Linked DNA regions of Nothobranchius furzeri. The protein of the gene in region 2 purifies or fractionates together with the protein of the main gene of each other region. This does not show direct contact. Links are inferred from orthologs where the notes say so. Each region holds a gene or a part of one and is shown on either strand. Other genes may lie near its edges.

Region 1 (5,326 bases), on a different chromosome or scaffold from region 2:
TTAACTTTAAACTGGTTTATGTTTTTACTTTCCTTCATCTCTTCTGTTAGACTGTTCCATAATTTAACTCCTGCGACTGCGATTGACAGTTTTTAAAGTTGTTCTAGCACTTTGTATTTTTAAATTCCGTTTCCCTCTTAAGTTCCCTCTTGTATCGGTAAAGATATGAGTAAAGTATTACAAGAGGTTGAAAACGAATTGGGTTCAATGAAAAAATGGTTTGATTACAACAAGCTATCACTAAATGAAAATAAAACCAAATTTATGATATTTTCAGGGAACAGGGACAATGACGGTGCTAAGCTGTATTTAAATGGAGTCCCAATTGAACAAGTATATGAAACTAAATTCTTAGGTGTGATTATTGATAGTAAACTCAGTTGGAGACCACATATTGAATATATCAAACAGCAAGTGTCTAAATCTATTGCTATACTTAATAAAACTAGTGATGTACTAAATAAAAAAAGCCTTGTTTTTGATTTATTCCTCTTTAGTTATGCCTTATTTGTCTTAGTGTGCAGAGGTTTGGGGAAATGCAGGTAAAACGTGTGTTGAGACTGTATTTAAATTACAAAAAAAGGCGATTAGAATAGCTAATAAATCGGGATACCTCGAACCAACCCATAATCTATTTAGTCAAACTAAAACGCTAAAATTAGGAGATATTATTAAAGTAAAAATCTTAGAGATTCTTCATAAAGTAGTTAATAATAATATCCCAAATTGCATAAAAGTTTATTTCAAACCAAGAGATGATCATTATAATCTCAGAGGTGTATTTATGTTTGAATGTGTAAAAGCCAGAACTAATGTGAAATCAAGATGTTTCCGTTGTTGGTGTGAAATTGTGGAATGAGTTAGATGATGATTTGAAGAAATGTACTTCCTTACTAAAGTTTAAAGCAGGTGTGAAGTGTCACATACTTACAGGGTATGAAAAGTATGTATAGACATTAATGAATTTTCATTGTGGTTATTTATATTGGGGAAAATAAAAGAAATGTATATTGGTTATGTATCTTAGGTGGAAAATAGGGTAGGCTAAAATAAGCATTGCTTCTGCCTATTCCTTTTTTGGTTTAAATTCAAGTTGTTAATATTGTTGTTTGGTTTGAAAAGAAAAATTTTATGTTAATGCTATAAACCGAAATTAAGACCTAAAGAAGAAGAAAGAAGAAAGTTATACCCACCTTCTCTTTCTTTGAACAATAAACAGATTTCTTTTGGAAGCAATTTATTTTACTTTATGCATTACTTGCGCTGTTTTGAGCTTCACCAAGTCTTGTAATTTAATAGTTTGCATTTCGACAAAGAGTGCATTCGTATGGTCCCTGTACCCCACATTATTTATTATTCTAATGGCCTTTTTCTGTATTATAGTTATCGTCTGTATGTTGCTTTTGTATGCGTTTCCCCAGACCTCTACACAGTAACTCATGTATGGCAGAAGTAAAGCTCAGTATAATATGTGCCACGCTTTCTGATCCAACATCTTCTTTGCTTTCCCCAGGATGGCAACGACCCGTGCCAATCTCCCCTGAACATAAGTGATGTGTGGCTTCCAACAGAGCTTACGGTCAATGATCACACCAAGAAATTTTATTTCATTAACTCTTTCTAAATATACATTATCCACACAAATGTCAATTTTGATGTAATTCTTTTGGTGACCAAATAACATAAATCTGGTTTTATCTAGATTCAATGATAATTTATTTATATCAAACCACTTTTTCAATACCATTAATTCCTGTGTGATCAACTCCAAGACCTGTGGCAATTCCACAACTGAACACAGTAAATTTGAGTCATCAGCAAATATTACAAACTTTAAAATTTGTGATACTCTGCAGATATCATTTAAGTACATAATAAACAATTTTGGTCCCAGTACTGAACCTTGAGGTACTCCACAAGCTATATCCATCAAATCAGATATGTATTCATTTACTTGTACATATTGTTTCCTGTTCCCTACATAGCTTTTTAACCAGTGGGTCTGCCGTTAAATATCTTTTTACTCTTTAACGGAGTTGTTGACAAATTTACAGGAAGTGACGTCCTGACCAATCACAAGCTGGCGGTCTCCATCACTTTCGACGGATGTTTAAAATTTTGGGCGTGTCTCCGTCACCCTCTGTGAGCCTGTCGGAGAACCCTTGCACTGACGCATAAAGGCGTTGCGTGTCTCCGTACCGACATAGATGAAGAAGTATAAATCCAGCTTTAGGCGTCACTAGTAAACAAAAGTTGGCATGAGCAGTGTTGCTTTTGAATACTCTGGCATGAAGCTCCTCCTCAGTCATCTCGCTCTCAAGGCCGGTCCGAACAGCAGTCAGCGTAGATGTTTACCCACTGCATCCATAGTGAAACACGCATTCACTAAGATGCCACTGGCAGATTGTACCCGTGCCAATCAGGCTCCCACTAGCAGGCATGCATGAACTTTAATCAGCCTGTCGGTCTGTAGTGGGTGTGGGATCTCAACTACCCCACTCAGCTCAGATTGAGCTGCCTCACATGTAAATGTGCTAAAATTGTTCATTTTTAAATAACATTGATGGAAAGTATGTACATTTTTCCCAATATTTGACATAAATGTACCTCACATTCAAGCCAACTGCACACGACTGTAAATCAGCATGTGGAAGGAGGTCACTAACCTGTGAGAGGCTGCGTGTCTTCTTCCTGGACAATAGTTTCCACTTCTGGGCCATAAACCTCCTCTGCTGTGGGGTAGTACTTCTTGTCCTCATGCAGGACCACCTCCATGCCGGGGACATCCTCATCAGCATCTCCATGCTCATCATCATCATCATCATCATCTCCCTGTCCAATGCGAGTACATGACAGATGAGCACAAACCCCTAAACATACAAGTACTACAAAGTGTGTACAAGTGTATAAAGTACCTCATCAACATCTCTGTCTTCTGCATCCAGTTCATCGTCATCATCGTCAGAGTCCAGCTCTGGACCGATGTAGTTGCCAAACTCGTCATACAAATCTGCCTCCATCTTCTAAAGGGCTGATGATCAGATTAGATGAGATGAGATCGGATTTTTACGAGTAATACACGTTGTGGTTATTTTAACATAACAACTGAGAAGCAGGGGAGAAGTGAGAGACAGTCTGACATCTGTTATTGCAGCTAATGCCAATACTTCATAATGCAAATGCGGCGTTTTTCAACTGCATTCTGTACGTTTTATGTACCTTATAGCAAACTATCCAAAGAGCTTAATCCGAGGTATCTCGTTTTGATCACATAATCCAGCCACACTTTAGCATGCTAGCAGGCTAACAAGCGACAAAATAAACGGACCGCAGTGACGTCGGAGCTACGTTACTGATCCTTCAGCTAATATCAAACTCCAGAACAAAGCTGTAACTCATATGTAACTAAATATAAACTAAATATACTTACTTGTAATCTACTGCAAATTTGGCAAATGAAATGTTTGTTCCAAAACGATAAAAAGCTGGTTTTGAAAGGAGACAAAATCATTCATTAAGCTCCATGCGCACAATACGTCACTGCCGGTTTTCTTCTTCTACTGTTTAATTTCAACGTCAGTCTCCACCGTCTCCACCTGTTGAACAAACAAATCACTGCAACAAGCTTAAAGACCATAAAACGCTCATCCCCGGGCTTCGTTATTGCTATTTTGAATAGAACTTTAAAACAAAATAAAAATCCCGAGTAGTTTTCATCTTAGCCTGGCAAATAAATAAACAAAACAAATAATAAATAAAGACGTTGGTTCTTGAAAGTTGTAACAGAGTAGTTTCTGCCCTCCAGTGGCTAAGATGTGAAACAGCAAAGTAAAAAATTAAATGTGTGTGTGTGTGTGTGTGTGTGTGTGTGTGTGTGTGTGTGTGTGTGTGTGTGTGTGTGTGTGTGTGTGTTCTTGTACATACTACATAGTGAGGACCATTTTCCCTACAATGTGAGGACATTTTTCAAAGTGACAACATTTTTTTGGTCCTCACCTTTTTAGAAGCTTACCAGTTGGTTTTAGAGGTATGGTCGGAATTAAGTTTTAGTTAAGGTTACGGTTAGGGTTAGGAATAGATCAGTATTGGTTAGGGTTAGGGTATGGGTTAGGCATACTGGAGTCACAAAAATGAATGGAAGTCAATGGAGGGTCTTCACTATGAAAGGAAGACAGACAAGTGTTTGTGTGTGTACAAGATGAAACATCCATGATGCATAAGCACATCAAGGATAAGGCCCCAACGGATGATGTGGCCAGTGAATGTCTCAGATAATGGCAAAAAGAGGAGGAGACACCAGAAATACCATCGCGGGAGGACAAACACACATGGGATGTACCACCGACAGATAACCGAAGTGGCAGATATCAAGAAATCCTACGACTAGAAAGAGCTGGTCTGAAGGACAGCAGACACTCATCGTGGCTGCACAGGAACAGGCCCTGAACATCAGAGCAACAAAGGCCAAGATCTACCACACCAGGCAAGACCCAAGGTGTAGGCTATGCAAAGAGGCTTCTGAGACAATTCACTACATAACTGCAGGGCGTGAGATGCTGGCAGGGAAAACAAAGATGGAACGCCACAACCAAGTGGCTGGAATTGTGTACAGACACATCTGGGCAGAGTATGGACTGGAAGCCCCAAGGTCAAAGTGGGTAACACCCCCTAAGGTGGTTGAGAGCAAAAGAGCCAAGCTCCTGTGGGACTTCCAGATCTAGACTGACAAAATGGTGATGGAGAACCAACCAGACATTGCGGTGGTGGACAATCAACAGAGGACAGCCGTTGTGGTTATTGTGGCAATACCAAGTGATGCAACATCAGGAAAAAGGAACACGACAAACTAGAGAAGTGCCAGCGCCTCAAAGAAGAACCTGAGAAAGTCTGGAGAGTGAAGACATCGGTGGTGCCCGTGGTCATCGGAACACTTGTGGAAGTAAGCCCCAGACTGGAGGAGTAGCTTAGGCAGATCCCAGGAAAAACATCAGACATCTCAGTCCAGAAAAGTGCAGATCTGGGAACAGCTAAGATACCGCAGAGCCCAGGCCAAACATTTCAAATGTGTTGTTGCAAGAAATAACTGCAAGGTGGCACTAAACATCTATGATTTGAGAATTTGGACAAAATGACTACAGAACTTGTAGCAATAAGCGAATAATTTTCTATGAGCTAAAATCATTACAATCAAGTAGCATATCTTCATAGATTCGGTGCAAACGCTTTTAAAACATCTTCAGAGTTTTATTCTAAGGGGTCATGTTTCCTAGAAACCCTCCATCTGTCTTGTTCAGCTGATTTGTTTTCTGAACTTCTTCAGGGATTA
Region 2 (5,458 bases):
GTCATTACATATATAAAAAAAACATCTGTTGATTAGAGATGTAAGAAAATTTCAATATGGCAATATATCGTATCGTCTCCCCTGTATTGTGATACGTATCATATAGCCAGAATTTCACCACTACACATCCCTACTGTTGATACCACTTTACATTTCTGTTCCCCCTAAAAGACTACTTATTATGCTTATTACAAATATACAAATGCCAAAAGAGGGACTTAAAGTAGTATCATATAGATTGAGTTAATTTTAAATGGCTTGTTCATATGTTTAGGAATGCAAAATATATAAATAGTGAGACTCGGTCCTGCTGTTATCTTACAAATCAATGGTGACAGACTTTACACTTTAAACTGGGGCTCCCTTTGACATTTGTGGATATTTCATAATACAGTTATAAAATATAATAATATTTGCTAAAAGTATGTTTACAAATGCCCATTTAGCTAACAAGGCAGCAACTTAGTTTGAAATGTTTAAAATGGCAACTGTAGACAAAACATACAAGTGATTATATTTGGCTCACCATTTAGCAATTTTTGTCTCTTTCTTGCCCCCAATGACGATAAACACTTATAAAGAGTTACAGATGAATTAATTTCAACATATTTATTAACATTTACCAATCATTTATAAGGGGTGCCTTATTGTAAAGTGGTACCAACAATTATTTGGGGTTAGTTTGGAAAAATCCACCATTTCAAAGAAATAAGAAAACAAAGTACCGAAAAACTAATACCTGACTCTTAATTAGAGCTTGGTTTCAAAACTTGGTGCCTCTTCAGTCCGAAAATACTTAGTAGGTATTGGTATATTTTTGGTGCTAGACGTTGTGGTTTTGGCTTGGTTCAAAGTTAGCAGCCCTCTGCGGGCCCCTGGTGGCCCTATGCAATGCATGCCCTGCTTATTAACACACAATGCATCTATTTGAGCCGAAGTATGCACTGTCTTTAATCGTGAAAAAATAAAATAAAATAAATAAAAGCTGACCCGAGTCTACAACCTTTGTCCTCTGCTGCATCAACAGCAACAAGAAAAATAGCCAGGTCTCATGTTTACAGTGTACATAGTTTATCTCTTATTTACATTGTATGTTTATTCATTTTGTATTTATTTTGGGATCTAAATATTTTTATTTCATGTTTTTAGAGAAGATGTTTCATATGTCTTGCACCAAAGAATATATAATAGTTGCACTTTATTTTCATACTGTTAACCTTTGCTTTGTACTAAAAGCTAAATACTACCTTTTCCTATTTATAAACTGTATATATATATAAACTATTACATTTTTAAGATGACAGTAAAAAATGTTGCTTCCACCATTTAGACAAGCCTCTCTCAGTTAAGTGGATACAATATGCATATATTGGCAAACATACAACAAGGTACCCCCTGGTACAGAGTTTGCTCAGAGTAAGGAAACAACTTGATATGTTAATATGAGATTAGTAATCTTGTATTAGGAAATACCTGGCTAAAGGTGAGCAGTAAGCATCACGAGGGCCTGCAAAATTCATGGTTCCCTCTTCGAGAACTGTCCGCCCAGGCAAAAACTTTAGACTGTTTGGATTTGGAGTATCCTGTGTCTGCACAAACATGGACCTTCCTGTAACATAAAAAATGTAATGCAAATTTTTAAAAAGGGCTACAAGAGAATTGTGGTCATTTTCTGCATGTGCAGAATGCCCGATTTTCTCACAACACCTAAGCATCTGACATCACTGTGGAAAACGTGACAATAAAAGACAATCACTCTTATTTAATAAAAAGTCACACTAGAGGTTGCAGCAAATAAACAAACCAGGAACAGTCCAGAAGGGGTTTTGTGGCCATCTGTTTGAAACTCCAGTAGCTTGCGAGGGCCAGTGGAATCCATTGCTCTGACATCCACTGCCAACAAGACTGAAAATAATGAACAGATAAACAGTAATATAAAAAAAACATTCTTTATTATAAAAAATATTATGCTGTTGTGTGTAGGGACGATTTCTTTACCGTCACTAAAATGTGGCAATAATAAGACGGGTAAACTCCTGTTTAGAAGATGTGCGAACAAGCTCCTACACTGAACAGGAACACCAAATCAAATACAAATGCTATAACTAAGGAAAGCAAAACATTAATAAAAAGGCAATGGCGCGATGACAGAGTTGTTTCAGCACGCTTTAAAAACGCGTTCTGCACATTTGTTCTGGTGATTTGTATTTTTTCCCCTACTAAATAAAAATGATCAAAAAGATGGATGCAAGATAAAAATTTATTACATTTATGCAGGTTTGTTTAGTGTTAATTTTACTTTAAGGGCATTTTTGATGGGAAAAAACATCGTAATGAAACATTCCTCGTTTCCAGACCTAATGTTTAGTCTGCGTCATTCCACACTAAACCAACAAGCTTAAACACAGTCGCATAGAAATGACTCACATGTTGCAAAAAGTAAAAGAAAAAAAATTAAACACAATAGAAGGTAAAATCCTGCAAAATATCCACTTACGGTCGTGAAAGTCTAGCAGAAATCCCCAACAACCCGCTAACGTGTTTATAAGCCGCCATGATTGTTATGGTTGTGATCCTTCAAGAAGAACGGAAGTAGATTATACTTTTCCGGAAGTGACGAATATTTTTGTACGTCTGTTAAAGTTTCCCCCCGAAATTATCAGCGTCAAGCTTACGCGCAGTAAGGCGCTGCTTCTTCAAATATTTACGTTAAACTATCTAAATATGCCTTGTGGTAGGCATTTTAGAAGAAGACAAGATTCGTCGGATGATGAAGAGGAGGATGAAACAACAGAAGAAGTCAGGTAAAATACTCGAACAACGAGTTGTTAAGATATATGTTGTGTTAGCAAACTAGCCGCTAACCCAAAATTAAAGTAACAGAACGCCATTGTTGTTAGTTGTATTTTAATAAGCTGCCTACCTAAATATGTTTGTGCTTTTGTATTTTTTTTTCTTAGATCAAAAGTAGAAGAGGCTAAAGAACTTCAGAGTTTGAGGAAACGACAGAGCGGAGTCAGGTAACATGTTAATATGAATGTAGAATGGAAGACATCTTTATTATGTAGCACGTTTCACACAGAAGCAATTAGTTGTGCTTAATGTCAATACTTAACTGCTTGGATGTGAATTAACTTACACCTTTTACTTTTTGTCTAGTGTGACAGCTTTATTGGTGGGAGAGAAACTGCCTCCAGAAGTCGAAATTGATGTAAGTTTTCTTTGGAAAAAAAAATGTGTGTGTGTGTTGAATAGCAACATGTTGAACGTTTACTTTTTTATTGATCACTTCTGACAGAATGATCCTTTCAAACTGAAGACGGGAGGAGTTGTAGACATGAAGAAAGTGAAAGACAGGAATAGAGACATGTGAGTCAAGTTTTCCACCCTCAGGTGCAACATAGATACCTGCCTGAATGCTTTGTACAATTAAACCAAATCCAGTTAATCGGATATGACTGACTCATCCAGGATGATTCATTAACAGGACAGAAGATGAAACCGACCTCAGCCTGGGCACTTCATTCTCCGCCGAGACCAACAGAAGGGATGAAGATGCAGACATGTGAGCTTTTCTTTAAACTGTATTATAATCATTTCCTCTTCAGACTCAACATTGTCCAACCTCTATTTAAATTGTGCTCTGTTTTTTTCCTCTCTAACGGAAATTTCTGACTTTTGAGATAATTTTTCTCATGTCAAGAAATTCAATAATAAAAAAATTAAGAGGTGTGTGTAGGTCGTCAACATTCATGTCCCTTTAAGAAGCTGTACCACCCTGAGCCAAAATGTGACTCAACCTAACACATGTGACAGCCCCATCTAGGCCATATCGCCCAGCCCTAAAAGGAAGGTGTTCAGTTGATTTCCTCCGTCTGGCAAAAAATATTCCATCATACATAATAAAGTTGAATTTCCACAAAGAAAACAAATTAAAAACAAGTTTGGTCCAACAATGGCTGCCCTGGACAAGAAATAACACTGGTGTTTACCTGGGTTTTCATCTCTTTAAACAACTAAAATAGTGTCAGTATTTGTCAGAAATCAAATTTTGCTCAACAAAACAATTTATGCACCAACCCCTGAATTAACCAGCTGTTAATGTTGACTGTAAAATCAGTCAAACTACAAAGACTGCTTTTGTCTGAGATGAAATGGTGTTGGAACTTTTGTTAGCATGTTACTGGCTGGCTTCATTCAGCATTTTAAGAAAAGGCTTTTTATTCTACTAAAGAAAGTTGGAAAAGCAATCTCAATTCTTGAATTACATGAACTTTGTTACTAAATATTTAAGTATCTACAAGTTAGTATTCAAAATCTTAACGTAGCTGCCATCCAGTTGTTCGTGTGGGACATTTCCCATTGTGTTTTTCTTTACAGGATGAAATATATTGAGACAGAGTTAAAAAAGAAGAAAGGCCTGGTGGAGGCTGAGGAACAGAAAATTAAGGTGAAAAATGCAGAGGACCACCTGTACGAACTTCCTGAGAACATCCGAGTGAACTCTGCCAAGAAGACAGAGGAGATGTTGTCCAATCAGATGCTGAGTGGGATCCCGGAGGTTGACCTTGGCATTGAGTAAATTCAGAAGATTCTTTAATAATTCAGCTCTTTTTATTTTACTCAAATTAATCCCTGTCGTTTCATTCTCAGTGCAAAGATTAAAAACATTATCCAGACAGAAGAGGCAAAAGCCAAACTTCTGGCAGAGCAAAGGAACAAGAAGAAAGACCTCGGGACGTCGTTTGTTCCCACGAATATTGCTGTTAATTATGTCCAACATAACCGCTGTGAGTTCAGGCTGTCTGCATCCGTTCCAGCTAGAGGAGAAAAGTTTGTTAATCATGCTTTTGTTTTCTTTTAGTCTACCATGAGGATGCAAATGCACCACAAAGGCACAACAGACACAGAGAAGAGCCCAAAGCAAGACCGCTGCGAGTGGGCGACACAGAGAAGCCAGGCCCAGAGGGTACGAGACACGACCACACAGTCACAGATACAAACCAAAAACACTTTTTGGTTCCTTTTTTCCAGAAACCAAAACCTGTACTCGTTTCTTTTGTCTGTCCGTAGCTCCGTCGCCACCGAACCCACGCAAACGTCCAAACAACGAGAAGGCCACGGATGACTACCACTACGAGAAGTTTAAGAAGATGAACCGAAGATATTAAAAAGTTGCATCTGTTTCCTCCACACAATGGCATCTGAAAATGTGAGCCGTTGCTAATTATTATTGAAAACATTTGTTGACCAAAATGTTGAAGCTCCAGATTTGTGTGATTTCCTGTTTGGTTTTTCAAACAAGTCAGCAGCTTTAGCTTCACTCTAAGTCTACAGTATTTTAGAGCTGGCTGTTCAATTATTAAGTGTGTAAAAATATATCTCGGTTTGTTTTTTTAAAACAAGAACCATACTAAAGTTTAAAAGTGATGCACTTAGCTAATGAGATGGAATAACT

The links. The genes of interacting proteins can lie anywhere in the genome.
Region 1: the proteins of c17h9orf78 (region 2) and eftud2 purify together in Homo sapiens (affinity purification with mass spectrometry; 3 studies listed by BioGRID and IntAct, with this or other methods). This does not show direct contact. The link is inferred for Nothobranchius furzeri from reciprocal best matches to the Homo sapiens genes C9orf78 and EFTUD2.

What each region holds. Positions count from the first base shown.
Region 1 is NC_091745.1:13,646,636-13,651,961, forward strand, and holds the start of eftud2 (116 kDa U5 small nuclear ribonucleoprotein component), read right to left. Parts: upstream 3,569-5,326; 5' UTR 3,431-3,568; intron 3,032-3,430; 5' UTR 3,021-3,031; coding exon 2,916-3,020; intron 2,833-2,915; coding exon 2,667-2,832; intron 1-2,666. UniProt on the Homo sapiens protein: Required for pre-mRNA splicing as component of the spliceosome, including pre-catalytic, catalytic and post-catalytic spliceosomal complexes. Component of the U5 snRNP and the U4/U6-U5 tri-snRNP complex, a building block of the spliceosome.
Region 2 is NC_091757.1:40,165,817-40,171,274, reverse strand, and holds the start of c17h9orf78 (splicing factor C9orf78 homolog), read left to right. Parts: upstream 1-2,625; 5' UTR 2,626-2,724; coding exon 2,725-2,804; intron 2,805-2,960; coding exon 2,961-3,020; intron 3,021-3,159; coding exon 3,160-3,211; intron 3,212-3,298; coding exon 3,299-3,369; intron 3,370-3,487; coding exon 3,488-3,565; intron 3,566-4,380; coding exon 4,381-4,578; intron 4,579-4,653; coding exon 4,654-4,790; intron 4,791-4,864; coding exon 4,865-4,969; intron 4,970-5,073; coding exon 5,074-5,171; 3' UTR 5,172-5,458. Other genes in the region: NFU1 iron-sulfur cluster scaffold homolog, mitochondrial, read right to left, coding at 1,474-1,609, 1,805-1,905, 2,498-2,556. UniProt on the Homo sapiens protein: Plays a role in pre-mRNA splicing by promoting usage of the upstream 3'-splice site at alternative NAGNAG splice sites; these are sites featuring alternative acceptor motifs separated by only a few nucleotides. May also modulate exon inclusion events.